Linked DNA regions of Ovis aries. The protein of the gene in region 1 purifies or fractionates together with the protein of each later gene. This does not show direct contact. Links are inferred from orthologs where the notes say so. Each region holds a gene or a part of one and is shown on either strand. Other genes may lie near its edges.

Region 1 (5,557 bases):
AAAGTAAAAGAGGAGAGTGAAAAAGTTGGCTTAAAGCTCAACATTCAGAAAACGAAGATCATGGCATCTGGTCCCATCACTTCATGGCAAATAGATGGGGAAACAGTGGAAACAGTGTCAGACTTTATTTTTGGGGGCTCCAAAATCACTGCAGATGGTGACTACAGCCATGAAATTCAAAGACACTTCCTCCTTGGAAGAAAAGTTATGACCAACCTAGATAGCATATTCAAAAGCAGAGACATTACTTTGCCGACTAAGGTCCGTCTAGTCAAAGCTATGGTTTTTCCAGTAGTCATGTATGGATGTGAGAGTTGGACTGTGAAGAAGGCTGAGTGCCGAAGAATTGATGCTTTTGAACTGTGGTGTTGAAGAAGACTCTTGAGAGTCCCTTGGACTGCAAGGAGATCCAACCAGTCCATTCTGAAGGAGATCAGCCCTGGGATTTCTCTGGAAGGAATTATGCTAGAGTTGAAACTCCCGTACTTTGGCCACCTCATGCAAAGAGTTGAGTCATTGGAGAAGACTCTGATGCTGGGAGGGATTGCGGGCAGGAGGAGAAGGGGATGACCGAGGATGAGATGGCTGGATGGCATCACTGACTCAATGGATGCCACTCTGAGTGAACTCCGGGAGTTGATGATGGACAGGGAGGCCTGGCGTGCTGCGATTCATGGGGTCGCAAAGAGTCGGACACAACTGAGCGACTGAACTGAACTGATTATAGGATATATCCAAGGACTTCATGGGAATATAAATAAATTAAAACTTTTTGTTTTGGAAGATGATCACGTTCTTTTGTTTTCAGTTCAGTTCCAGGCCTCCCTGTCCATCACCAACTCCCGGAGTTCACTCAGATTCACACCCATCGAGTCAGTGATGCCATCCAGCCATCTCATCCTCGGTCGTCCCCTTCTCTTCCTGCCCCCAATCCCTCCCAGCATCAGAGTCTTCTCCAATGAGTCAACTCTTCGCATGAGGTGGCCAAAGTACTGGAGTTTCAGCTTCAGCATCATTCCTTCCAAAGAAATCCCAGGGTTGATCTCCTTCAGAATGGACTGGTTGGATCTCCTTGCAGTCCAAGGGACTCTCAAGAGTCTTCTTCAACACCACAGTTCAAAAGCATCAATTCTTCGGCGCTCAGCCTTCTTCGCAGTCCAACTCTCACATCCATATATGACTACTGGAAAAACCATAGCCTTGACTAGACGGGCCTTAGTTGGCAAAGTAATGTCTCTGCTTTTGAATATGCTATCTAGGTTGATCACAACTTTTCTTCCAAGGAGGAAGTGTCTTTGAATTTCATGGCTGTAGTCACCGTCTGCAGTGATTTTGGAGCCCCCCAAAATAAAGTCTGACACAGTTTCTACTGTTTCCCCATCTATTTCCCATGAAGTGATGGGATCGGATGCCATGATCTTCGTTTTCTGAATGTTGAGCTTTAAGCCAACTTTTTCACTCTCCTCTTTCACTTTTATCAAGAGGCTTTTAGTTCCTCTTCGCTTTCTGCCATAAGGGTTGTGTCATCTGCATATCTGAGGTGATTGATATTTTCCCGGCAATCTTGATTCCAGCTTGTGGGTAAGATAAACTATTATTGCTCACAGTTGGTAATCCATACTGTGATGATCTATATGATTTATTAAATTATGCTTGGAATGAACATATTACCATATTTGTGCTGACCATGTTAGTCTGTCTACTAAGAGAGTTCAAAAAAACGCCATAGTTGCGACGATAACACTTTGTTGAATTTAGAACCCAAAGAGACTATTGGTTATTATGTATTATTAAGAAGCACGCCTGTGGTTTTAGGTCTTTGCAATAAAATAAAAGCAGTATGTGTATTATATTTCCTGCCGTAAGATCAGACTACACAACCCTGAACGTTCCCAGCTTTTCTCAGCTATGCTTATGGGAGCTAACTGGAGCTTGAATAGAGATGATTTGTTCCTCAGCCTGGATTCTCTCTGTGCCTGTTGGCTCAGGTGGGATAAATACTGTTGAGAGTCCATAAGGTAGTCGCTGAATTACAGTTAAGTAACAAAGCGTTATCATACTATGACTTGCTCTTCAACATTCTCAAGAGAAATTCCGGTTCTCTAAACGAGTTAGCCCGCACTCGACACAGAAAATGGCAGAAGCCTAGTCTACTCCGACTCCATGGCTTATGATCTGGGTTCGTTTATTTACGCCTTGGACAGGAGCCGGACCGGGAGTTGGAGCGAAGCTGCTTCTCGACGCTCGACTGCGGTTCCCTGAACGATTGCTTGGGCGCTCCTCCTTTGAGGTCTGGGGCGTTCGTCTATTCGGTGATCTCCTGCGCCGTCTTCTCGCTTGATGTCTCCCGAGCGGCGGCGGCGGCGGCGGCGGCGCCGGGTCGAAGGCTGTCTCGTCCGCGAGGCCCCCGCGCTCAGGCTGCTTTCTCCCGCCGGTCGGCGGAGCGGACCCCTCGCTTCCTTCTTGCCTCTCCTTCTAGTGCGCGGCTCAGTCCACCCGTTGGGCTGCAAACCGAGCCCCCGCCCGCCTCGCAGGTAGGCCCAGGAGGAGCCTGGGAGGCCCCGGCCCGGCATCCTTCCGCTGCCGGGTTCGGAAGACCTTGGCGCCGGCGGGTGGGTGGGCGGGAGGGCCGGTCGGCCGCGGAGACTCGGGCAGAGGAGGAGCTACACGGCGGCGGCGTTCGGGGGCGCGGTCGGAGAGGCGGCGGGCAGCGGAGGGAGAAGCCGGAAGGAAGGAGGGATGCTGGTTTTGCCGCCTGGAGTGGCCCGGGAGGGAGGGTTCGTTGGGTCCGGGGAGGGTGTCGGTACCCCCAGTGTTTGGGGGAAGCCGCTTTCCAGGAACGGATAGAGCTTTGCGCGCTTTGGCCTCCCGACCCCCAAAGGCTCCGGGTGTCACGACTCAGTTGTACTGGGGGACACTCTCCAAGTCCGGCCTTCGAAGGGACCCTTGACTAGGTGGAGGCTTGAGGCCGCAGGGCCCTCCGGTTCCTCTGAGCCAAGTGTCACGTTCTCGCCTTTTTTGGGGTAGGGAAACTGAGGTTCATCTGGGACGTGACTTTCCCCGTATCCAGCACAGATCTTTAAATGCACCGTGAGTTCATTTTTTCGTTGTTTACCAGTTCAGTGTGTCCCTCCCGCCCCCCCCCCCCATACTTAACCCGTCATTTTATCCACATAGTGATTTGTCGTTTGATCGTCTCTCTAGTCCCTCCTTCCGAGGAATATAGGTAAATTCCGTCCCTGGAGACTTCAGAAGTAAAGGGAACACGCAGTCTTGCGGCTGCTTTTGCTTTGAAAGTCTGTATCATTTTAGCGGGAGGAGTCATGACAATTTCTTTTTGTTTCTTGATATAAAATTTTGTTTGCTGTCTGGTTTACTTTCGCGTTGATACTTTCTGTCTCCTTCCTCAGCCTGTTTCTCACTGGAAGTCTTTCAACTGTGGTGTTAAGTACTTAATGTCCTGAAGAGGATGGTCAAGATTTTGAAGTCAGATATTTGTCCTGAGAGACTGCTTTCTAGGAAGAATCCAAATAAAACCTAAGGAGTCGCTTTTGTGCCGGTGTTGTGTATTGCATTAGTGACTTAGTTACTGCATATACTAGAGTTTAAAAGGCTATGTGTAGAAATCATTCAAATATTGACATATTTAAATCGAAAGTTTAAATATGGGAACTCCATTATCTTTTCCTTTTCTCTCCTAGCCCGGAAACTTTGGAGACTAAATGTTCTTCCTCGTTTTATTTTCATTGGATTTAGTGGCATGATTCTAATTTGTGTAATTTCTTTGTTGAAAAAAATAATCAACCTAGAGGTCATTCTAGGTTGAATAAGTATTTCCATAGTACAAATTTAGAATCAGTAGGAGTTGGGTTTTCTTAAGGGAGAAGAGACTAAATTTGTAGTCCTTGGAGTGAGACTGTACAAGTCTATGTACTTTAACAAATTTAGACTTCTCACATGACTTTTGGAAGGATTATTGTTTTTTCCTTGTATTATCATTATCATCATCATTTTAGTGAGGTCAGCAGGATTTAAATGTAGGGCCCTTGATCTTGAGTGATTTCCTAATTGCCAGATCCTGAGTGCTCCCTGGAATAGATTAATGAAGAGTCACTAGACTGTCTTTATGGAGAATCTATATTGGGAAGTTAGGCTAATGTGTGTTCTCTGAAAAAGTTTCTATGACAGAAGAGAATTTAATATCAGAGAAAAGAATTTAGAGGGCTTCCCCAGTTCGATCCCTGATCTGGGAAGAACGTCTGGAGAAGTAAATGGCAAACCACTCCCATACTCTTGCCTGGGAAATCCCATGGACTGAGGAGCCTGGTAGGCTACAGTCTATGGGGTTGCAAAAGAGACACAATTTGCTGAACAATGACAATGAAGAATTTAGAGAAGGGAGGGACATATTCCCCTGGAGATTGATAGGTTCTGCATAGAATTTAGAGTTAGTGGCTCCTGATGAATGCTAAATAAGAAATGAAATTCGCTGTAAGTGTCAGGAAGAAATTTTGGGGTATTTTGTTATGCTTCCATGGAAAATAATTAGCAGAGGTTTAAGTTGAGTTGAAGAGGACCAGGAATTTGGTTGTCGTGGAAAGGGGTAGAGCTTCTTATCAGCTTCCCCCCCTGCTTTGTGGTAGACGTTCACTCAACCTTTACCTTTCTCGGTTAAATCTTGTGTTCTGCTAATGTCAGGTCAAGCTCTCTTCTGGCCTTTCTTTTCAGAATTTACAAATTCCGAATGTGGCTGAATTATTCTGTCTTCTCTTTTAGTAAGAAAGTTCTTGGGGATTGTTAAAGATGTGAACTTCTTTGAATGTCTTTTAGAACTTATCCTGAAAGAAGTTATGTATACCACTTGAAAAAGACTAGTTATATATATATCACTTGAAAGCAGTTGGTTATTTTTATTAACAGAATAATAGCTTAGTTTTATACTGTATAATTTTCAAAATATTTTCAAGTTGTGTTAGGTTACTTATGAAACTTTTATCCTTTTGATCACACTCCTTTATGCTGCTTATTAATACTGAATCCAAAACAAACATTTATGGTCTTCAAGGACCTTCATGAATGTTGACAATTTACATTGGTGGTTTAATCTCACTCTTCTCATTTATCTAACTCTTAAAAGACTTGGAAGAAACAGTTTGTTGTTCGTACACTGCGTTCTCTTTTTTAAAGATACTTCTCAGCCCTGATCAAGTTATTTTGGAATGGGATGCAAATCTTTTTGCCCAGTGGTTTGGTTTACCAAAAAAAAAAAAAAACCTAAGGTTTTTTAAGTTCCTTTAATCATAGTCATGCTTGTTTCTTTCTCCAATTGTTCCTCATAAACCCAGAGAGAACTTTCTGTTTCTTGTCATATTTTTTTGTTTGTACGGAAGTGCTGTGGTACCACCTCTGCTGCGGCTTGGGGATATAATTGATGTTTTGTATTTTCAAACCCCTCCTTCCCCCAAGTTAATTAGATCAGGTTTTTTGGGTCCCTTTTTCTCAAAGCTAAAATTAGTTACTGATAGATAAAAATTTTGTGATCAGTTATTGTCAATAT
Region 2 (5,720 bases), on another chromosome or scaffold:
CTACTGAACACAATTGTGACGTTTAATTAAAATATGCAAAGCTTTCAGAACAGTGCATGCAAATGCTTGAGAAATGTTAACTACAAGTATAAATGTCAATGAAATTCAGACTATAAGCAAATATTGATACATATAACATGTAGCCGTGGTTCTCTTAACTTGTGAACTTATTAGACTTGAACCCAAGGATCCTGATGTTTTAAGGGAGCCCAGCCTGGCGCTCTATGATAATCTAGAGGGGTGGGAAACAGAGAGGGGAGGGAGGGGAGGGAGGCAATATATGAATAATTATGGCTGGTTCCCACGGATGGAGGAGCCTGGTAGGCTACAGTCCATGGGGTCGCGAAGAGTCGGACATGACTGAGCGACTTCACTTCCACGGCTGGTTCACGTTGTTGTATGGCAGAAACCAACAAAACACTGTAAAGCAATTTTCCTCCAATTAAAAAATAAATTAAAATTTAAAAAAGAATCCTGATGATTAATCTTAACAAAACCGGGGGAAAAACAACTAGACAAATGGAGAATATAAGTAAATATCCTGACGCCCAGACCAGCCACATGAGACTCTCCGGGGGAGGGTCCCGGTACTTTTTACCCTTCCAGATGGTTCCAAACATGCAGGCAAAGGCGTAAAACAATGATAGAGACAGCAAAGACAAAGAATAAGCAGGTATGGCACAGCTGGGGAGCATGTGATCTGACAGCTGAGCTCAAGTTGGATTTGGAAGGAAAAGTGGTGCTTGACGCTGAGTTCTCTACTGTTTCTCTACGAAAACTGGTAGTCAGAGAATTCCCTGGCAGCCCAATGGTTAAGACTCTACATTTTCACTACTGAGGGCCCAGGTTTAATCCCTGTCCAGGTAACGGATATCTCACAAGATGTGCTGTGCAGCCAAAAAATAATAATAATGATAATTTTTTAAAAAGCTGGTAGTCTGGGGCTTTCCTGGTGGCTCAGTGCCAAAGAATCCTGCCAATGCAGGCAACATGGGTTCCATCCCTGCTGTGGGAAGATCCCACGTGCCGTGGAACAAGTAAGCCCGTGGGCCACAACCACTGAGCCTGTGCTCTGGAAGCCACGCTCCGCAACAAGAGAAGCCTCAGGAATGAGAAGCCCCGTCACCTAGAGAGTATCCCCCACTCGCTGCAACTAGAGAAAAGCCTACACTGTAACAAGACCCGCACAGACAATAAATAAACAAAATTTAAAAACAAAACAAAAAAATCCAGGGACTTCCCTGGTGGTCCAGTGACTAAGAATCCACCTTGCAATGTAGGGAACACAGGTTCAATCCCTGGTCAGGGAACTAAAACCCCACATGCCGTGGAGCAACTAAGCCACTAGGACCTGATGCAGTCAGATAAATTAATCAACTAATTAACAAACAAACTGGTAGCTAGAGATGAGAGGTAAATAAATCTTGTAGATCCTAAAAGCAGACCTCCCTAACTCAAGTGAAGAACAAAGAATTAATTAAAAAATACACAGAATGAAGTAGAAATACAGGATTAAAATATATCTCTTTAGATTAAAAAAAAAAAAAAGATTTACAGCCTGTGACTTCTAAGAAGACCTCATATTTAAAATCAACAGTCTCTCTGGCCTGCAGGAACTGAATTACCTAGAGAACTAGCCGTGTGCTCAGGAAGCATAGAAAGATGAGGCCAAACACACAGGAATTACACATTTCCCTGAGGAAAGAACTGTTCTTTAATGTCCCAGCCAATACCTCGCATAATGGGGAACACAGCCCAAGAAAAACACAAGTCATAAGGCTAGAACTGGGAAGGTGTGACTCATGGGTCAGCTGCTTCCCTTTCAGCATCATCGCCTTCACAGGTGGAGGCAGTCTCACAGGTGTGCACCGGCTTGTCACCCGGCCGGCAAAACCTAAGACGGAGCTCGTCTCAAGGAGCAGACCCACGGTAAGACTTACTTCAACAAAAGGTTGGGGGTCAGTGGAGAAACCTGTGTGGGCGCTCTTCTTTTTTCCAGTGCTTGTTCACAAACTAAGCTGGGCTAAGGCCCCGTCCTGCGGGCAGCTGTCTGCCCTTCCGGAGCATTTTCAGATACCTGTTGAGTATCTTTCTGTCCAAAGAGTGGGATGCTGAGTGCATTTTATGTTCTAGGAATAGAAGTCAAGGGCTGTGGCCACTCAATCGGGGAACTGAACCAGAGGCTTGGGATCCCAGTGACCAGCTGCCCTGCTAACAGGCAGGCATGCTTTGGAATTAACAGGCTCTTTTTAGTCCTTCTTTAAGGATGGTTTAAAGGATGCTTTCCAGCCTCCCTCCTTAGCCTGTTGGCAAACGAAGTGTTAGTATTTAGATTTAACTTGGCTTAAACTTTCTATCTGCAGCCCATTCCAAGCCGTTAGCCCATATTTTCATATGACAGCTGGAATGAAGGTCTAGGGCTCCCTCAAACTAAAACATCCTTCCCCAGAGCGGGGCAACTTCTAAAAACTGCTTGCCACTCCTTGCCGCTGCAGGTCTTCATCTTTGGGGACCTCTGGTTAGGAACAGGGATGTATGCACACACCGTTTCCAAACTAGAACTGTTCAACGTGTTGAATGAGCCTACGAAATGCGATAGTAAAGTCTGCCACCACTTGAAGAAAAGCACTAATAGTCTACATGCAGCCAAACGCGCTGGCGCGCACATTCTGTGCATATCAAGAGCTCTTTGACCATAGAGACTAATTATCCTCGACGAGAAATTCGGCACAAATCAACTTGCTCGCGGACTCTGCCCCTACTTGTCAAGAGCCCTGGGGTGGCGGCGACGCAGGAGCCTCGGAGGCTCGGGACTGCCCCACTCTCCCCGCCGCCTGTGTCCGCGCGGCGGGGCGCCGGGGGCCCGGCCCGCGCCGGCTCAGGGACCCCGCTCCTGGGGAGCTCCGCCGACGCGGGGGACGCCACCACAGGTGTCCCTGGGGGGCGCGGCCCGGCCTCTCCAGGGACCTCACTCACCCGGCTCGGCGCCGCATCCCTGCGCTCGGCGCCGCGCTCGGGGGCGAGCTGACAGCCGCGGCCTGAGAAGGCGCGGCAGAGAGCCGTGACGACGAGCCTCCTCGCCGGCCGCCGGGCCGCCATAGCTGCCCTCCGCCGACTCCCGCGCCGCACGGCAGAGTCGCGACGTCGCGAGGCGCTACCTTACGGCACCGTCGCAAAGTCCGCGGGAGGGCACGGCGCGGCGGACCGTGCGCTCGCCCGGCGTCTGACAGGCTGAGGGGTTGGACTGACGGCGCGTCAGGGCCGCGGCTCCTCGGGAGCTGCCATCCTCGGCGGCTTCTGCGCCGGGCGGCCAGCGGCGGGCTCGGCCAGGGGAGAAGTGCGGCGCGGACGCCGGAGGACGTTTTTCCCGAGGCGGGGGGGCGGGTGTTCGGCCGGGCCCGGGGCGACGGCGGGAGCTGCGGAGTCGCAGGGCGTCGGCGGCGAGGCGCGCCATGGCGCGGGCGGCACAGGTGAGCGCGGGCGGCCGCGGCGCGACCCTCTCCCTCCGCGCGGGCGGTCCCGGACGATCCCCGTCTCCCGGGTCCGGAGCCGGCCGGGCCCGAGTCCCCTCCCTCCCCGTCGGCTCGCCCGGCCCGGCCGAGCGCGCCCGCCCCCTCCCCCGCAGGCCATTGTGAGGTCAGGCCGGCGGGTGCGTCGTGGGGTCCGGGCGAGACGCCCGGAGCGGCCGCCGCGGCCAGTAGCTGCCGCCGCCACCGCCGGCCCCTTCACCGGCTGCCCCGACCAGACCTAGCCGGGAGGGCTGAGAGGGATGCAGCTTGGGGCCCGGCGCCGGTGCCGCACCCCGTAAAGGGCTGACCTACCACCTGGCCACTTCACCCGCGGGACGCCAAGACCAAGCCCGCTTAGACCGCGTCTGGGTAAAGTGCCGGGAGGGCAGGGCGAGGGGGCAGGAAAGAACCGAGGCAGCCCGCCGCTCCGGGCCTCTCCGGAGGCGCGTTCTTGGCTCGGACACCGGCAGGGGATTAGTTTCGATTGAGCATCCATCCCCCGCCCGTGAGCGTTTGAAAGAAACCCAAGAACGTGGGCGGGGGGTGGGGCGGGGGGAATGCATTAAGCCACTCGAGCCTTAATGGGAGGCTGATGAATGAGTTAGTCATCGTTGTCGCATTGTCTTGCGGTGTGTTTTGGAGGGGGGAGCATAACAGGGCCTAGGGGGTACCAGGCCTCCAAAGCCCAAGCTAGTGCCTTTATCATAATGCCAGGCGCCTTCCCTGTGGAATTCAAGCCTCTGCAAGGAAGTTTATGAGGTCCACAAAGGGTGTGGCGAGAAACAGGGCGTCTTTCTGGAAGTGTCTAACGGGTGGAGAGGCACGTAGAAACGGGGACTTCCGCGAGTGCCCGCGAACCCCATTGTTTGTTTCAGTGGCTCAGTTCCTTTTACGGGAAGCTAGGCCGGGTGGGTGGAGGAGGAGATGGCAACCCACTCCAGTGTTCTTGCCTGGAGAATCCCAGGGATAGGGGAGCCTGGTGGGCTGCCCTCTCTGGGGTCGCACAGAGTCGGACACGACTGAAGCGACTTAGCAGCAGCAGCAGCAGGCCGGGTGGGAGTGCTTAGATGCCCCCCAAAGGCCCGGAAGGTTATAAGAGCTACTGGTTTACTTTCCACAAAGGTGCCCTTCTCTTGCCAAGAAGCAGCTTCCACTGTGAAGACCTAAGGTGCTGGTGCTTTTTCCAAGCTGACAGCTCAACCTCATGCCATACTTACGTAGGCACACGCTGCTCTCTTTTACAACTGAGGAAAACTGAGGTTCCCAGGCCCAGCACTCCAGCTTCCCTTCCACACTGCAATGACCCAGTCTCAGTCACTGCCATATGGAGGTTGCTTGCGGGAGAGGGGTTGATAGACTCTGCTTTCTGTCCTGAAGTGTGGTCTTTGGCTTGCAGTGACAACAGGCCCTTTCGTAAGCATATCTTTTTAGAATGAGGTACTAATACACAAGTACCATTCTTCAGGCTTTGTGGTGTAACAAGTTATTTTTGTCATCTTTTAGTGCTTGTGAAACTGAACACAACAAAAGTATGGAGATGGGAAACCAACACCCTTCTATTAGCAGGCTTCAGGAAATTCAAAAGGAGGTGAAAAGCATAGAACAGCAAGTACTTGGTTTCAGTGGTCTGTCAGATGACAAGAATTACAAGAAACTGGAGAGGATTCTCACCAAACAGCTTTTCGAAATAGACTCTGTAGATACTGAAGGAAAAGGAGATATTCAGCAAGCCAGGAAGAGGGCGGCACAAGAGACAGAGCGTCTTCTCAAAGAGTTGGAGCAGAATGCGAACCACCCACACCGGCTCGAAATACAGAACATTTTTGAAGAAGCACAGGCCCTGGTGAAAGAGAAGGTTGTGCCGTTTTATAGTGGAGGCAACTGTGTAACTGATGAGTTTGAGGAAGGCATCCAGGATGTCATTTTGAGGCTGACACATGTCAAGACCGGAGGTAAGGTCTCCCTGCGGAAAGCACGGTATCACACCTTAACCAAAATATGTGCCGTGCAGGAGATTATCGAGAACTGCACGAAGAGGCAGCCTTCCCTGCCGCTCTCTGAGGACGCGCACCCCTCTGTGGCCAAGATCAACTCTGTGATGTGTGAAGTGAACAAGACTAGAGGCACACTGATTGCCCTTCTGATGGGCGTGAACAACAAGGAGACATGCAGGCACTTATCTTGTGTGCTCTCGGGGCTGATGGCTGACCT
Region 3 (5,821 bases), on another chromosome or scaffold:
TCTCCTCTTTCACTTTCATCAAGAGGCTTTTTAGTTCCTCTTCACTTTCTGCCATAAGGGCGGTGTCATCTGCATATTTGAGGTTAGTGATATTTCTCCCGGCAATCTTGATTCCAGCTTGTGCTTCTTCTAGCCCAGCGTTTCTCATGATGTACTCTGCATATAAGTTAAATAAGCAGGGTGATAATATACAGCCTTGATGTACCCCTTTTCCTATTTGGAACCAGTCTGTTGTCCCATGTCCAGTTCTAACTGATACAGGTTTTTCAAGAAGCAGGTCAGGTGGTCTGGTATTCCCATCTCTTTCAGAATTTTCCACAGTTTATTGTGATCCACACAGTCAAAGGGTTTGGCATAGTCAATAAAGCAGAAATAGATGTTTTTCTGGAACTCTCTTGCTTTTTCGATGATCCAGCAGATGTTGGCAATTTGATCTCTGGTTCCTCTTATAATTATGAAACCAGCTTGCTTCATAATTTGAACGTAATTTAGACACATGGAGGAGAGTGGATGTTACATAAAGTAACGGGGAATATTATCAAGAGTAAATGTTTCTGACAATGATGCTTGCTTGTTTGCTTTTATTTGTCTTTCATTTTACTGATAGGTTTTTTTTTTCTTTTAAAAAGTTTTTATTGTGATGGCTTTTTATACCTGAATAACTGCTTTTGTCAAAGAAATGATGAATGACCGTGTTTATTTTAAAAAGGATATATAGGTAATGTACTGACGGCGTCTGGTTTGTGGTATCATTGACTGTCTTAAATAAAAATTCCTCCCTTAAAGAGTTTGTTTTTGGATGCTTGGTATCCTACCAGCCCAATCCTTTCTTCCGACTCCTGACCATTTGGCCACTCAGACCTCTCCCAAGAACAAGGTGCAAGGACTCTCCTGGACTTACTTGGGCAGGGTAACCAGAAACCCAGTAGCATAGCCTTCAACTGAAAGAGCTTTCTTTTTTTCCATCAATTTTTTTTCTTTTAAATTTCTTTTAAACCATTTATTCTTTCACTCACAAAGTATTTATTGAGTACTTAACATTTGTCAGCGACTATTCTAAGCACTTGAAATACATCAGTGAGCAAAAGGAAGCCCTCACCTCCGCAGTGGGGCACACTTGGGGGGGGTTGCTGAGATGAGGAAGGAAAACAGCCGCCCGAAAGAGCTGAGGAGCGGTGGGGGTGAGGCGGGGGCGGGGCTTGCTCTTCGTACTAGAGTGGTCGGGGTCCTTAGAGAACTTGAGCAAAGGCCTGAAGGTAGGGAGTGAGCTTATCCAGACATGCACAGCAAGGCTAGTGCAGGCAGCAGGCGACGAGAGTCCTCTGAGGCCTCTTCTGAAGGCCTTGGCTTTTACTCATTTCACAAGTGAGCCGCTGAAGGTTTCTGAGGAGTCATTTGCTGTGCCTTATTCTGGATCACTGCAGCTGCTGAGCTGAGCACAGACAGTGGTGCAAACAGCACCAGACCAGATGGGAGGGCAAGGCTGGGATGCTGGCCCAGTGGGGAGTGAAGACGGGCCTGGGTATTCTCTGGAGTTGGAGTCCACTGAGTCTGAGGTGTGAGAGAGTCTAGCACATTCACAAAACGTCTAGGATTCCACGTTTGTCATGATACAATAAAACGTCTAATGAGGCCAGATGACCCCCTACAGCAGTTGTGAATTAGTATTTAAGAGTTCAGAGGAACTGGGATCTAGCCTTAGGGGCCTCATCTCTGTTCAAGTACCTCGACTTTGATCTCAGATTAAAGGTTGGGCTCCAGCCTTGAACTGTTATTATCCCCTTCCCGGTGCCCTGTGCATCCCCTCCGTGTACTGCTGGGCAGAACGCCTAGTGTGCTCTGGCCCCGCCACCCCTCTACTACTCCCTGACCTGCACGGTGGCCGAGCGGCCTCCATGGTCTTCTCATAACAGGAGGTTTATACAAATGGGGTTAGAAACGGCCTTAAATAACAATCATTTCACTCGAATTCCAACCAATAACTTAAACAGAGAAGTCATTACAAATGCTTTCATGCGAGTGGGTGTGAAAACGATGAGGTTCACCTTGACCCCTACACGCAGCTGGACAGGGCGGCTTTTTGTCTTCTGCTCTGTTGGCGTCCAGACTCCAGTTCTCACCTCGGGAAGGTGCCCGGGAACCACGGCTACGCAAAGGACCCCTTCCTCGCGGCGGATGGCCCCGGAGCGGGGAGAGGGCGGGGCTGGTGCGAGCCCGCCCCGGGGCGTGATCGGGGGCGGGGCGCCGCGGGCCAGCCTGGGTGAGGGCGTGGCTCACGCGAGCCCCGCCCCGGCTATGCTTGGGGGCGGGGCCTCCGTGGGGCGGGGCGAGGGCGTGGTTGGCGCGGGCCTCGCCCCGGGGCGTGCTCGGGGCGGGGCCGGGCCTGGCGCCACGCGGAGCCGCCCCGCCGCGCCGCCCCCGAGGCAGCTCGCGCGGTCGGAGTCCGGCCGCCAAGCCCTCGCGCCCTTATCTGGGTGCCCTGGCCCCCGACTTCGGGTTTGCGGGCAGCGCATCCGAGTAGACGGTTGGCGCGTGGGGACGGCGGTGACCTCGGGCCGCCCGCCCGGCGCAGATGGCTCAGGCGAGGATCAGCGCCAAGGCCAACGAGGGCCGCTTCTGTCGCTCCTCGTCCATGGCCGATCGCTCCAGCCGCCTGCTCGAGAGCCTGGACCAGCTGGAGCTCAGGTGCGCGGGGCGGGGGCCGCGCGGGGACGGAGCTGCGGGCGAGGACCGGGGGGCGAGGGCGGAGCGGAGGGCAGCGCGGCGCTGGGTCGGCGCGGCGGCCCCCCACCCTTCGGCGGCCCCGAGCGCCGGGACCGCGCGACCCCGAACAGAGGAGGTAGGGGGGACGTGACTCGAGACGACGGCCGTGCCGCCGCGGAGCTTCCAGAACCTTCCGCGGGGGGCCAGGTGTTTCCGGCCCACTCCCCGCCGCGAGCGGTTTTAGGACCGGGGCCGGTTAGTGGTTTCTGTGCTGAGCGACCGAGCCCTTTGCAAAACGGAAAAATCCGTCTGGCCTCAGGCCCGAGAGCAGCGGACAGGTGTCTCCCCAAGCCGCGCTCGGCCTCACCGGGGCGCCGTCCCACCTTCCCGGCCGCCAGGGCCCGAGCCGCAGCGCTCCCTCCCGGTCGGGGTGTCCCTGCGGTCGGCGTGTCCCCTCCCGGTCGGGGTGTCCACGGCGGTCAGCGCGCAGAGGGAAGCCCTGGCGGCGAGGGTCGGGCTGAGGTCAGCGAGGATGTGACTTTGGAGCAGGGCCCGGGGTCAGGCGCGCAGAGGTTACCACCGGTCAGGAGGAGCTGCTGTCTCCCTTAAAGCTTTTAGTGCTTTTCTGAATTTGAGAAGATTTAGGAATCTGAGTTCCTGAAAACCGGAGAGCCTGTTTTGCCAGTTTTCCCAGAGCACAGAGTGCCTCACCCCGGCTCTTTCCCTGAATTCTTTCCAGGCTGTGCTGCTGTCAGTTTCTATAGAAACCGGTGTGGGGACCCTGCTTAGTGACAAATGTAGTCACCGGCTTGTATAGGATTCCTAAATAATGTGTAAGAAATTTGGGAAATAATCTTTTCTCTAACAGTGAATGAAGACTTCTGTGTACTTCCCATAACTTCTTATTGTCATTGAAGGTCCGGTAAATTGTGTGCAGGTGTAATTACAGGCAGATCTTACCAAGGCGTCCAAAACTCCCTAAAACCACAGGTAATTTTTCCCATAGTTACCAGACTCTGAGTGAGCAAAGGAATACATGTAAGACACAATTTTAAGAAGGGCTGCATATGTGTCTTTATCTCAAAACAGGACAAGGGGTCTGTTTGCCAGTAAAGTACATTAATAACCAAATGAGGCACTTATTATCATTTATTAATATTTATGTTGACTTTCATCATTTATTGTATAGTTCTTTTTATTATTACAGAAAGAAACAATGTCTTCTCAGAAAATGAGACGCTCACCACCACGATTTCACGGAGAGTGACAATGGTCCTTCTCCAGCTGAAGCAGGTGGAACAGGCAGAGCAGTTCCTGTGGACGATTTTATGTAGCAGCGTTAACAAGTGACTGAGCGTCTCTGGTCTCAAGAACTTTGAGGGCATGTTCTCAGCCATTTCAGGGGGGCTCTTCCCTAGTTGGAAAGAAAGGATGTTTTCTTCTCAGCTCGGGCAGGACACAGTTCCTTTCTTGAAGCTGAGTTATTGTTCTAAGACTTGAATTGATGCCTCACATAGGGCAGGTGCTCATCTTTAAAAGGAAGTTTCTTGTTTGAAATATTACGTTCTAGGGCTTCCTTAATGTGAAATGAATTCTGATTACCGTGTACAAGTGGTTAATCACTTGCTGAATTAACCCTTGAGCTGAGACTGATAAATGTGTGTTCAGTTGTTCATTTTAAGGACTTTTCTAGTTTTAGACTGATGAGCTTTGTTTCTTTCTTTTAAAAAAAAGTGATGCTGACAAAATTAAGTCTTTTGGAAGGTTAAGTAAAAAATAGAGAAGTTTATGAAGGCAGATGGGTCATGGAAGAGAGCACTGAGCTGTTAGAAACTAGAATCAGGCCCAGAAGATCAAGTTTAAAAAGAAAACAAGACATTCATGTGTTAACTGTCATTTACTTTCATGTTACGAGTGGCTAATAAAGCAGTGTTGCAGGCACACTGAAAATCACAGACTGTACCAGGAGGTCTGTGTTTACTGTCCCTCTGTTGTGCTAGTCTCAGCAAAAACTTTCTCCGCATGAAATCGAAAATAGAATTATGCTCAGTGCTTCATGACCTGCCATGTGAACTGGTGTCCATGGTGTTTAAAGTTTTTCAAATGTTTGACCGCATCTCACAAATCGCTGAAGAAACTCCAGTTGTTTCTAATGCGTTAGCACGAAACTAGATCTCCTTTTTTGCTTCCTCCTAAAAAGGTGATGTCTCTCTCTACGGGTTTTCGTGACCGTGCAAATGGCCTCTGACTTTTCCATTTGTCAGTGGCTCTGAGCACTTTGCTCACGATTGTTACTAGTTTAGCAGTGATCATATAATTCATAAATGATACCCTCCAACAGGTATCTTAGCTAACCAGCATGACTACAGGTCCTGTGTCTTTGTGGAAATTATGTCACCCTCATTGTCCAGGCGGGAAATTGAGGCTTGAGAAGTTAAAAGAGCTCAGGAGTGGCTGCAGAGCTTAATGCTTTACGCCTGAGTTTTCTGAGTTACTATGTCATATTTCAAAGTGTAGGAATAGTATATGATTTTACTGAAAGAAGTGAAAATTCCACTTAGATCCGGGTTTAGATCAGGGGCTGTTGAATGCCATCTCTGCAGGGTGTGAGTGGCCCTGAAGCTCCGGCTGGTGGTGAAGATGCTTGGCCACGAGGTGTGGAGAGCAGCCCAGGGGACGGATGGGACGGGGAGCTGGCTGCTCACAAGTGTCCGCAGAGCAGCCTCCTGGGCACCGGGCCACCAAGGAACAAGGGAGGGAGCAGGGACCTGGGTCCTTTAGCTGAGTTTCCTGCTGGGCTGACCCGACCCCCGGAGCCAGAAGACAGCACCTCAGTTAATACTGTCAGAGCCTGTAATTTAAAAGGTCACTTCTCATAGACGGTATCATATGAACCTTCCAAAACCCTCCAAGGCAGGAGGACATCCATTGCCTCCTTTAGCAGCAGTAAAGGTCCAGAGGGACTGAGCGGCCGCCTGAGGCCGTCCTGCTCAGGACTAGCTCCTGACCCTGAAGCCTCGGCCCATTTTAACGCCAGTGTCTCAGCAGTGAGTGTTCCTTACTGTCTGGGTGATGATTAGGAGGCTTGTTACTTACAATCCTGAGTTCATAGTGCTGA
Region 4 (5,697 bases), on another chromosome or scaffold:
GGCACTGATGATACATAGTTGTGAACAAGAGGGCAAAATCCGGGCTCTCAAGGAGCTTATGTTCTAATGAATGGAGGTAGTCAAAGTAAACAATAAATAAGACATCAATTTTAAAGATAAACATTGTGAAGAAAATAAGGAGTGATGTGATCTGGAGGGAGAACTGTGTTACTTTGGATCAGATTGGATGTGAAAAAGAGGTTTGCTTAAATATAAGCACAGTATAAGCAGACCATCATTAAGTCTGGTACACTAATAGAAAAAATGGATCCAAATCAAGACAGACAAAAGTCCCTCCTATTCAGACCCAATGTGCAATGTTACACAGAGTGTAGGATATCATACTTTAAAAGGAACACTGATGAACTCTTAGAGAGGTCAGAGGAACGTGAGCTCATTAGCTCCCATACCCCTCACCCCATTCTACTCATTCTCTTCCTCCTATGTTTGCTGTCACTATCCACCTACTTAAAAACCTAGATGCAAGTCTCTCGGACTCCGATTTGCTTCACCATCCATATCCCAACTGATCACAAAGTTCTAAATGTTTCTTGGATGGATTTCTTAAATCTGGCCCCCCTCTCCATTCACACTGATAGCACCTGAGTGCCTGTCTCTAGGCCTCCTGTCTTTATCTTCCATGTTGTCATCAGTCCTTTGTAAAGTATAGTTTTGGTCTTTTGCAAGGTGACCTTACTATTTATTATCTGTGCTGGGCACATGAACAAAGAAGACTCATTAATTACGCTGTGGGGAAAAGTATTATTGGGCCCCCCCCCCCCCCCCCAGCAAATCAGGACATACAGACACACACATCATGTACTCCTCTGCTTAAAAATGTCTAGTATTTTCCATTGCCCACAGGAAATATCAAGTTCTATATAAATAAATATTTGAGGCCTTGTCTTCTGCTTCTATCCCACAAATACCATGATCTCCATCCACATGATCTTCTCTTAGCCCCCAAATATCCTGCCCTCTGAAAGAGATCCCAGGCCTTGTGTGGGCTTTGACTCCCAGCTCCCCTCAATAGTTATGTAACATACAGTAGGTTACTTAACCCCCTATCTCAGCTCCTTTTGCAGAATGGGAATACTGTGAGGATTAAATGGAATGACACATGGAAAGAAAACCTTTAGCATAGTGCCAGGAACATAATAAATATAATGAATGTTAGCTGTTATCTCTGTAGGTCAATAATTCCCATAACTTTACGACTAAAAAGTTACCTTAGCGATGTAAAGTTGCTCAAGGCACATAACTGATGGAACACGCTTTTCCACTGTATTGCAGTTCTCTTAGTGACTTCAGGGCTCTGCAGATTCCCCACCTCCGATTACAGTATCTGGCACTTAGGGCATGAAGAATGTTGCATGAGATCATCAGGTGGTCAGAGATTTGGAAATACACTTGGAAGAAGAATGTGAAATCTGGAAAGGGAGGAGTGAGTGTCAGGAGGGTTGACTTCAAATATTCTCTAAGATGTATGGAAGACAGGGACCCAGGGTAGTTCTGGAAGAAATAACTGGGCCCACTAACAGATGACAGGAGGCAAGAATTTTCCGCTGGGAGAGGGAAGGGAGGTGAGGTAAACGCGAGACCTAAGAAACATAGTTCAGTCCCTGGGTTTGGGAAGATACCTACTCCAGTATTCTCGCCTGGAGAATCCATGGACAGAGGAGCCAGGCAGGCTACAGTCCATGGGGTCACAAAGAATCGGACACCACTGCCACTTAACACGCACGCAAAGATATCTTTGCTGTAACAATTCTCTAAAACAAACAGCGCTGTGCTACGCTAGGAAGGGCTGCTTCCCCCAGTGACTGCCCTTGAGATAGGCCTGGCGCCAAGATGAGACTGGACGACCTCTGGACCTCAAAACTGTCTGGGCACCGGGCTAGGAATCAGGGGAGGGGTCTATAGACCCGAGGAGGACGCCCTTGCCCCTGCGGGAGCCATCTGGTCCCATTCGGTCTCCACCAGGCGCCGCCAACCCCTGCCCGAGGCTTCGTTTTCCCAGCCTGCATGGAGGGAAAGAAATCTTGCCCCGGGGCTTAAAGGAACACCCGGCAAAGGAGGAAACCCCCTGGGCCGGAAGCACTCAGAACTGCTTCCGGGCCAAGGGGGAAGGAGTCGCCATGGAGCCTCGCGGGGTGGCAGGGCTGACGGGGCCGCGGGGCTGACGGGGCCGCGGGCCGGCGTCTGAAGCGGGAGAGGCGCAGCGCCGCCAGCGCCACCGGGGACATTCAGGCCGGTCCCGTCCCCGCCGCCGCCATGTCGGTGCTGGGCGAGTACGAGCGACACTGCGACTCCCTCATTTCGGACTTTGGGAGCGAGTCCGGGGGTGGCGGGGACTCGGGCCCGGGGCCCAGCGCCGGTCCGGTGCAGCGAGCCGGCGGCGGCGCGGCGGAGCAGGAGGAGCTGCACTACATCCCCATCCGTGTGTTGGGCCGCGGCGCCTTCGGGGAGGCCACGCTGTACCGCCGCACCGAGGTAGCGGCCCCGCTCTCCCCCGCCTCGTCCTCGCTCAGCGATCGGGTCCCTCAGGGGTGTCTGTCTTGGGGTCCTCACCGCTCCTGTACTAGGAGTTCGCAACAGCACTGGTTTTTCTAACCGGTCGTTTTTGTTTACCATGGGGACTGAGCAAGGCATTGAACCTTCTCTGAGCCTTAGTTTTCCCGTCTGTAAGTTGGAGTTAGAAATAGCAACGTACCTTAAAAGTAATATTATTTAAGATTATTTTGATCATCGAAAAGGTCATTGGTAAGATTGTAGCGTGTGGGCTTCTTCATCAGTGATGATCCAGCAGCGTTTATGCCTGGGAAATACTTTTTTTTTTTTTGGTATATTTTAAACCATTCGTTCTTAACTTCAGGAGGGATAAAGGACCTCTTTGAGAACTTAACGTAAAGGTACCTTCCCGCCTATCCATTATTGCACACATACAAATCCTTTGAAGAGATTCTTTGATGGTGGCTCAGAGGTTAAAGCGTCTGCCTGCAATGCGGGAGATCTGGGCTCGATCCCTGGGTCAGGAAGATCCCCTGGAGAAGGAAATGGCAACCCACTCCAGTATTCTTGCCTGGAGAATCCCATGGACGGAGGAGCTTGGTGGGCTACAGTCCACAGAGTCGCAAAGAGTCAGACACAACTGAGCGACTTCACTTTCACTGATTAAAACCCTAGAGTGGGGAGTCTACTTCCAAAATTGATCATAAACTTTCATCACTAAAGTCTTAAAACTCTGCTTTCAGAATAGTTAATCAGTGTGGGGTTGCTGAAGATGAGATTCTATCAGTGATCTGTCTGCAGGTCTGTTGTGTGTTCCAAGTACTTTTAAGTCTAAAAGATGGATGAGGAGAGAGGTGGTTGCAAGATTAATGTATTATGAGTTACTGTTAGTGTTCTCATGAGAATGAGGAGATGTGCTTTGGTATTCCTATTTTTATAGTTGAAGAAACTAAGGTAGTATATTTAAGTGACTCGCTCACTTAAATTAGAAGCAAATCCTGGGCTGGAATGGAGGGTCACATCTGCTTGTCCATGCCTTTCCATGATTATTGCGTTGAACTTGATTGCCAAGGTTGTTTCAAGTTAAGTTTGATTACACTTTCCCCAAAATTGCATAGCATTATCCATAACATCAAATGTTTATTATTTTTGAGTTTACCACGGTCTAATTAGAAGCAAATTTTTCCCTCAAGAAGCATATATTTCAGTGGCAAGACATGTTAGTTTTGTTAGTAACAAATAGTGTTTAAGTTGTATGTGTATATAAGTGTAAAAGAATGGACATTTATTTCAGTGGAAGGAAATTAAGGGAGTGCACAGTAGAAGGTTCATTGATCTTTTGCTGAAGTTTCAAAGGCCCAGCACAGCAATCCTAAAGGACAGGGAGGGTTATTTAGGTGGGGATGCTTCTGAGCTGGGGAACAACATCAGTAAATTAGAGATGTTATAAAATGGAGTGAATATTAGGAGCTGCAGATAAGTCTTCATGAATAGAAGAAAACATGTGATAACATAAAATTGCAGGAGAAACAGAGTCACAGAACGTGACAGAGTAAGGAAAGTGAACTCAGAGCCCTTCAGTTCAGTTCAGTCGCTCAGTCGTGTCCAACTCTTTGCGACCCCATGAATCACAGCACGCCAGGCCTCCCTGTCCACCAATTTCCGGAGTTCACTCAAACTCATGTCCATCGAGTCAGAGCCGTTAGACATGACTTATTCTTATCTATAAAGAATAAATGAAAACCACTAGAGAAATCTGTATAAAGTTAGAGGCAATTTTAACATGTCTATTTTACAAGAAATATCAGCCATAGATAACCACTCTCCAGTTCTCTTGTTTTTCCAATAGTCGAACCATACTACAATCCTCATCATGACTAGCAGTCTTTCATAATGTCCCTCAATAGAAACCCTGAGATCTACCTCCATGCCATATTTTTTACCTGGAATTGACATTAGGTAAATTAAGTGTAAAAACAACATTTTAATGCTTTCCCTAGACCTGCAGTAAATTTTGATGCTCAATTGTATGCAGAATTTTTAAAGTCTTCATGTTTTATTTAAAGGAGAAAAAGGAGTCAGTTTCTGCCCATCTAGGAAGTTTTCTTTCTAGGCTCAGAGATCCGGGTGTAGATTCATTCTCTGCCAGGCTCGAGGAAAGCACGATACCTCTGTTGCTGTGTTATAGGATGACTCATTGGTCGTGTGGAAGGAAGTTGATTTGACCCGACTCTCTGAGAAGGAACGTCGTGATGCCTTGAATGAGATTGTTATTCTGGCACTGCTGCAGCATGACAACATTATTGCCTACTACAATCACTTCATGGATAATACCACCTTGCTGATTGAGCTGGAATATTGTAATGGTAAGGTAGAGTTCAGTGGGACTTCCTCCAGCAAGACATTCCTTTGCTTATACTTACCTTGAGGGGGAGAGAAAAATAAGATCCATATTGACAAAGAACAAGAACTTTAAATGGACTGCTAGAGTTTAAGAGAAGTAGTTCAGGCCCTGAAAAGTTTTGAAGTGATCCACAAAATGAGGGGAGGGATTTTTCCCCCTGCATGCTCAAATTTTGCTTTGTGATGATAATTCCATCTTCAAATTATTTGTTCAGTTGAATTTTACACTCATTTTTCAAGCTTTTTTCCCTTATGAAATGACAGGCATTAGAAGCATAGCATGGTTTGACACTTGATAGTGAAATCTTGTAGGTGATATTTATTTATAATGATTTTAGCTAAAGCTGTCCTACTGAAAAGTGGTCTAAAGACCATAGCTGACTGAAAATGATTTCTTTGAACCCTTTTGCTTGTTTTAAAAAAAAAGCCATATAGCCTATTTGTTAAAAAATAGACCCTGAACCCATATCCTAAGCTTTACTACTTTTTAATCTCTGTAATCTTGCACAGACTACTTCTCTGTGCCTCAGCCTCCTCATCTTAAGTAAGTTTGCTAATAGGCAGTACTTACCTCCTAGGGTTATTGTATTAAATGAATCTATAAAGCCCCATCAACTTTAACATTTCTATTTTACGGGAAAGTGTACTATTTTACAGTAGTTCTTGATATGTAGCAAATTTTTGATAGATTTTGTACTAACTTATTATTACCTAAGAGAATGCCCAAAGCCCATTCTTGAGCTAAATGCTAAAATGGTCCAAGCATATTCTTCATTTAAATCT
Region 5 (5,684 bases), on another chromosome or scaffold:
ACCCAGACTTCCCAAGCAGTTCTTCCAAGAACCTTTCCCCTCTGTAGGCCACCTCCACCTACTCCCCTCTTCCCTTTTCAGGTGGTGCCTCTTTCTGAGCCTCCTTTCCGCGTCAGCCCTGTCCTTGACCACAGACACCCCAGACTGTAGGAGCCAAAATGGATGATGTTGCCCAGAGATGAAGATATTGAGGCCCTGAGAGGTGTATTGCATGCCCATGTCTCCCCCACATCATGAAGGCAGTGGGGTGGGGGTAAAGAACCAGATGCATTAAAAACCGCCAGGACTTTTTAGTCCGCAGAGGGAGAGGGGCAATTGAGTCTGGCCCCGCCTGAAAGGTCGGGCAGGTGGAAATCAACGAGAACTTCCTTGCCAGAAAAACATGAAGAAATCCCAGGAAACTAATAAAGGAAAAAGAAAAGAGGATAGCCTGACTACCTCTCAGAGGAAGCAGCGGGACTCTGAGATCATGCAACAAAAGCAGAAGGCAGCCAATGATAAGAAGTCTATGCAAACAAGAGAGAAATAATGACTATCTGGAAACCAGGGTGCTGCTGCAAACTAAGTGTATCATAAGCTCTATGATCAAGATTTTGTAGAGTGAACAGTCAGTACATGTTATATCCGTACAAAACTATTTTAAACTTTTCCTTTCAACCTGACTTAGCGTGATGTTTCAGAACCATTTCAAAGAATAAAACACTAACCATGCATATGAAAATAAATAAATAAAAATAAAAACAGCCAGGAATATTTACGAAGCTTTGGTTCCAGACACTTCCTGGCACTGGAGACTCAGCACTGACAGGACCCAGTCCCTGACTTTACGGTGATTCCAGGCTAGGAGCGGAGGAGACATTTAACATGAAAACCAAGGAACAATTTCAGATTTCAGTGGTGGGTGTCCTTGAGAAAACGGTAAAATGAGAGGCTTGAAGGGCTGGACTGAGAAGACGTCTGCAGGGAGGTGAACTTTGGCTCCCGGTGCTCACCTCGCTTTGCAGGGTCCTTTATGATTGAGGACGCAGATAGTACTGGAGCTCCCACCTGCATTCTGCTCGCAAAGAGTTGGATATGACTGAGCATGCACACACAGCTGGTAGAACAGGGCGGGTGACTATTTTTATTTCCAGAAGGAAGCGGGTGTCGGGCTGGGGAAAATTAGGCAACTCACACCGCCCAGAGACACCTGGCAGGAACTCATTCCTGGCCCTGTGAGATAGGGGCGGGCATATTTGCATCTGCTAGTGAAGGGGCTAATAGATGGGGAAACAATGGAAACAGTGAGAGACTTTATTTTCTTGGTCTCTAAAGATCACTACAAATGGTGACGGCAGCCATGAAATTAAAAGACGCTTGCTCCTTGGAAAAAAAGCTATGACCAACCTAGACAGCACATTAAAAAGCAGACACATTACTTTGCCAACAAAGGTCCATCTATTCAAAACTATGGTTTTTCCAATAGTCATGTATGGATGTGAGAGTTGGACCATAAAGTTGAGCACAGAAGAACTGATGCTTTTGAACTGTGGTGTTGGAGAAAACTCGAGACTCCCTTGGACTGCAAGATCAAACCAGTCAATCCTAAAAAAAATCAGTCCTGAATATTCACCGGAAGGACTGATACTGAAGCTCAAGCTCCAATACTTTGGCCACCTGATGCGAAGAACTGACCACTGGAAAAGACCCTGATGCTGGGAAAGATTGAAGGCAGGAGGAGATGGGGACAACGGAGAATGAGATGGTTGGATGGCATCAACCACTCGTTGGGACGTGAGTTAGAGCAAGCTTTGGGAGTTGGTGATGGACAGGGAAAGCTGGCGTGCTGCAGTGAGGTCACACAGAGTGGGACACGAATGAGAGGCTGAACTGAACTGTGACGGGGTGGTGTCTTCCCCAGATCCGCCCCTTCCTACAGTAGCGCGTCGTAACCTATTGACCCAGACAGGAGGCGGGCCGCAAGGCCTGCCTGGCTGCAGGAAGCAATAAAACCTGGGTCGCTATTGGTGCCCGCGGAGGGTGGGCGGGGCCTCCGCCGCCCGGGGCGCGCGCCGCTGAGAAGCGTTGCCCAGGATGGGGCAGGGCCGCGCGCAGGAGGCCGTTGGCGGCGCGGCCCCGCCCCGGATGTCGCGCGTCGCAGCCTGGACGACGGGGATTGGCCAAAGCCGCGTGAGGGGCGGGGCGGAAGGTTCTGGAGGGGGCTGGCGGGCTCTGGAAGCTTCCGCCGGACGGGTATATAGAGTCCGGGACGGGGCGGTGGCGGAGCCGGGGGACGGCGACAGCTGGGTGGCGGGCCGCAGGCGGGGGCAATGGGAAAGGACTATTACCAGACGCTGGGCCTGGCCCGCGGTGCGTCGGACGAGGAGATCAAGAGGGCCTACCGCCGTCAGGCGCTGCGTTACCACCCGGACAAGAACAAGGAGCCCGGCGCTGAGGAGAAGTTCAAGGAGATCGCCGAGGCCTACGACGTGCTCAGCGACCCGCGCAAGCGCGAGATCTTCGACCGCTACGGGGAGGAAGGTGCGTGCGCGCGCGCAGCCGGGGGCGCGCCCTCGCCGTTTGACAGGCGGAGAAACCGAGGCAGGGTGGCCTCGCTGCAGCATCTCCGGGGGGTGCTCGGCCGCAGGGGTTGAAGCAGCCCCGGCCCTCTGGCCACAAGGGCCTCCGCCCTCGGATTGGCGGCCGCCCGATGGGAGGAGGGGCCCTGGCCGCGCTGCTTGTTCAGAAGCTTCTAGTATGTCTGGGGCTGCCCCTCCCTGGGCTCTCGCCTCCACCCACGTCCGGGGGTGCGGGTGCAGAAAGAGAGGGTTCGGAGACCTAGCTTGGCTGCTGGCGCTGCGGGCCTGGGCTCACCTGTGCGAGGTGGGAGGCTCTGCCACCCCGGGGTTCAGGGCAGGACCTCTGGCTGAGCCCTGGGCACAGGCTGCGAGTAGTGAGCCTGCAAATGAGGTGCCAATTGGCGCCGAGCGACCTCCCGCGCCTCCGAGGGTGGAGTGAGGTAATCCTTGTAAAGTGCTTACCTAGTCGGCCGTCAAGGTGCAGGGAACAGTGGGGCCAGCCCTCTTCAGGGAAAAAGAAAGCTTTCTTGTCCCGTCTCCCATTGATGACTCAGGCAGGTTGCTGGGCTTGGTCCTCAGGAAGAAGTGGCTAATTACATGAGAATGGGGGCAGTTAGTGCCAGGGTGTGAGAATTTGAAAGTCTGCATTTGCAGTTTCACGTTCCTTTTACTACTCTCCACACGTCTCTAGCTGTAGGGAATTTAAGAGTAAGCATTTAGTGAAAACTGATCCGGGGTAAGCATTTTTCATTGGATCTCTTAGTTTTCCGTACTCATTGTAACAGTGCAAGGGAAATGAGTTACTCAGATGTGAGGACCTGGGTGGCCCCAAGAGATGCCCATCTGAAACCTTGAACACTTCACCATTGTCTTGCCACAGTGGACTAACTGCCATAAGTGGGTGGGGGTTCTGTTTTGCTGCTGCAAGTGGGAGGTAAAAGCTTGGAGTTCTTCCTTGTTCTTCCCTGACAGGCTAAAAAAAATTCCTCCCCCAATGGCTCCTAAGCTTTTTTCCTTGAAGGAAAGTTCCTGGAGAGTTAAGTTCCTAGCTCGCCATCTGATTTCTTCTGCTTTGGCGTTTCAGGCCTGAAGGGCAGTGGTCCCAGCGGCGGGAGCAGCGGTGGTACTAACGGTACCTCCTTCAGTTACACATTCCATGGAGACCCTCATGCCATGTTTGCTGAGTTCTTCGGTGGCCGAAATCCCTTTGACAACTTTTTTGGGCAGCGCAACGGGGAGGAAGGCATGGACATCGATGACCCGTTCTCTGGCTTCCCCATGGGCATGGGTGGCTTCACCAACATGAACTTTGGCCGCTCCCGCCCTGCCCAAGAGCCCACCCGAAAGAAACAAGATCCCCCCGTCACCCATGACCTTAGGGTCTCACTTGAAGAGATCTACAGCGGCTGTACCAAGAAAATGAAAATCTCTCATAAGCGGCTGAACCCCGACGGAAAGAGCATTCGCAATGAAGACAAAATCTTGACCATCGAAGTGAAGCGGGGGTGGAAAGAAGGGACCAAAATCACCTTCCCCAAGGAAGGAGACCAGACTTCAAACAACATTCCAGCCGATATTGTCTTTGTTTTAAAGGACAAGCCACACAATATCTTTAAGAGAGATGGCTCTGATGTCATTTATCCAGCCAGGATCAGCCTTCGGGAGGTAAGGCACTAGGCAGGGCAGCATCTGGGGAGAGAGAAGCTGCTTTGTGATGCTGTTCAGTGTTTGCTTGACAGATGTTTCTGGGCACTTGGTGCGGCCAGGCTTGGACAGTGCAATGGCGACAAGACTGTCCAGGGCTCTGTTTTTCCAGAGCTTCTGTGCTGGTGACGTGGGTAGATCTTAAGGCAGGGTCTTAGCTGCAGAGGTCTGATGGTGCTTACCCTCCAGTCAGCAGCCTCTGGGCAAGATGTGAGCTCCTTAAGCTACTCTTTCTAATGCTGTCCCTTTGCTTTCCAAGGCTCTGTGTGGCTGTACAGTGAATGTCCCCACTCTGGACGGCAGGACCATACCCGTTGTGTTCAAAGATGTCATCAGGCCTGGCATGCGGCGAAAAGTTCCCGGAGAAGGCCTCCCTCTCCCGAAAACGCCCGAGAAACGCGGGGACCTCATTATTGAGTTTGAAGTGATCTTCCCTGAAAGGATTCCCCAGACGTCAAGAACCGTTCTTGAGCAGGTTCTTCCGATATAGTCAATCCGTGTTCCCCAAGGACTGACCAGGGACCTTTCCAGAGCTCAAGGATTTCCTGACCGTTCCACCAGCTGTGGACCCGTGAGAGGGCGGGAGGGCCCAGGGAGGGCTTTCATACTGCTGAATGTTTTCCAGAGAATATATTACAATCTTTCAAAGTCGTGCACTAGACTAAAGTTGTTTTTCGAGCGGTAGGGCGGCAGGTGGTGGGGACAGCAGGCAAAGGCAGTGCAGTCTGCCCCACTGGGTCCTTGCAGCCCTCCTGGGTGGGCAGCACCCCCCTCCTCCCTCTCCAGGCCCTGCCCAGGGGGAGAGGCAGACCGCGGACCCACAGCTGGACTTGATCCCCCTATTGTAGTCCCTCCGCTTGCAGACATCCTGGGGTGTGGACCTGCGTTTATGGGTACCAGACCCTGTACACTCCTGAGTTTCTATTGTGTGATCAGTTCGTGTTTTATTCTGTATTTGTCTCCCCCATCTTGCCCTTCCCCTAAGAAACCCCGTCTTCTCTTTTGCCATCTCAAATTGAGAATCTCAACTCTGGTTGTTGAACTGCCTGGCCAGCTCCCACAAGCAATACCTCCCTTGTTCCAGCAGGACCAAGGGAGCCGGCCTTCACTGAGTGAGTAACTTGTGCAGCTGCCTCTCCCTCAAGGGTGGGGGACCTTGGCTGGAGTCTTGACCCCAGGCTCCCAGACAGAGATCTTCACCTTCCTTTGCTGTGAGGCAATCTATTGGCACACCTGGGATTTCCCCGTGACCCAGGTCATTTTTTTTGTTCAATGGACTCTGGACTCTCTCAAAAGGATCTGATCCTTTTGAATTTTGCACAGCCCTAGCTATAATCCCTTTTGATAAAAGGGTCTTTGCTTCTGATTACAGGAGCACTGTGGAACGCCTGTAAATATGTTTTTATAATTCTGTGTAAAGTT

The links.
Region 2: the proteins of AMBRA1 (region 1) and BAG5 purify together in Homo sapiens (affinity purification with mass spectrometry, with the first as the bait; 3 studies listed by BioGRID). This does not show direct contact. The link is inferred for Ovis aries from reciprocal best matches to the Homo sapiens genes AMBRA1 and BAG5.
Region 3: the proteins of AMBRA1 (region 1) and BAG2 purify together in Homo sapiens (affinity purification with mass spectrometry; 3 studies listed by BioGRID, with this or other methods). This does not show direct contact. The link is inferred for Ovis aries from reciprocal best matches to the Homo sapiens genes AMBRA1 and BAG2.
Region 4: the proteins of AMBRA1 (region 1) and NEK9 purify together in Homo sapiens (affinity purification with mass spectrometry; 3 studies listed by BioGRID and IntAct, with this or other methods). This does not show direct contact. The link is inferred for Ovis aries from reciprocal best matches to the Homo sapiens genes AMBRA1 and NEK9.
Region 5: the proteins of AMBRA1 (region 1) and DNAJB1 purify together in Homo sapiens (affinity purification with mass spectrometry, with the first as the bait; 3 studies listed by BioGRID). This does not show direct contact. The link is inferred for Ovis aries from reciprocal best matches to the Homo sapiens genes AMBRA1 and DNAJB1.

The regions. Positions count from the first base shown.
Region 1 is NC_056068.1:75,486,434-75,491,990, reverse strand, and holds the start of AMBRA1 (activating molecule in BECN1-regulated autophagy protein 1), read left to right. Parts: upstream 1-2,327; 5' UTR 2,328-2,534; intron 2,535-2,694; exon of another isoform or gene 2,695-3,090; intron 3,091-5,557. UniProt on the Homo sapiens protein: Substrate-recognition component of a DCX (DDB1-CUL4-X-box) E3 ubiquitin-protein ligase complex involved in cell cycle control and autophagy.
Region 2 is NC_056071.1:65,928,044-65,933,763, reverse strand, and holds the start of BAG5 (BAG family molecular chaperone regulator 5), read left to right. Parts: upstream 1-1,839; 5' UTR 1,840-1,929; intron 1,930-2,976; coding exon of another isoform or gene 2,977-3,099; exon of another isoform or gene 3,100-3,132; intron 3,133-3,218; exon of another isoform or gene 3,219-3,878; intron 3,879-5,012; 5' UTR 5,013-5,040; coding exon 5,041-5,720. Other genes in the region: cytochrome c oxidase assembly factor 8, read right to left, coding at 2,977-3,099. UniProt on the Homo sapiens protein: Co-chaperone for HSP/HSP70 proteins. It functions as a nucleotide-exchange factor promoting the release of ADP from HSP70, thereby activating HSP70-mediated protein refolding.
Region 3 is NC_056073.1:3,196,414-3,202,234, reverse strand, and holds the start of BAG2 (BAG family molecular chaperone regulator 2), read left to right. Parts: upstream 1-2,420; 5' UTR 2,421-2,572; coding exon 2,573-2,685; intron 2,686-2,687; exon of another isoform or gene 2,688-3,693; intron 3,694-3,910; exon of another isoform or gene 3,911-5,821. UniProt on the Homo sapiens protein: Co-chaperone for HSP70 and HSC70 chaperone proteins. Acts as a nucleotide-exchange factor (NEF) promoting the release of ADP from the HSP70 and HSC70 proteins thereby triggering client/substrate protein release.
Region 4 is NC_056060.1:84,445,940-84,451,636, reverse strand, and holds the start of NEK9 (serine/threonine-protein kinase Nek9), read left to right. Parts: upstream 1-2,128; 5' UTR 2,129-2,274; coding exon 2,275-2,493; intron 2,494-4,699; coding exon 4,700-4,877; intron 4,878-5,697.
Region 5 is NC_056058.1:9,588,038-9,593,721, forward strand, and holds the start of DNAJB1 (dnaJ homolog subfamily B member 1), read left to right. Parts: upstream 1-2,261; 5' UTR 2,262-2,309; coding exon 2,310-2,520; intron 2,521-3,642; coding exon 3,643-4,223; intron 4,224-4,521; coding exon 4,522-4,752; 3' UTR 4,753-5,684. Other genes in the region: small EDRK-rich factor 1-like, read left to right, coding at 82-146, 319-529. UniProt on the Homo sapiens protein: Interacts with HSP70 and can stimulate its ATPase activity. Stimulates the association between HSC70 and HIP. Negatively regulates heat shock-induced HSF1 transcriptional activity during the attenuation and recovery phase period of the heat shock response.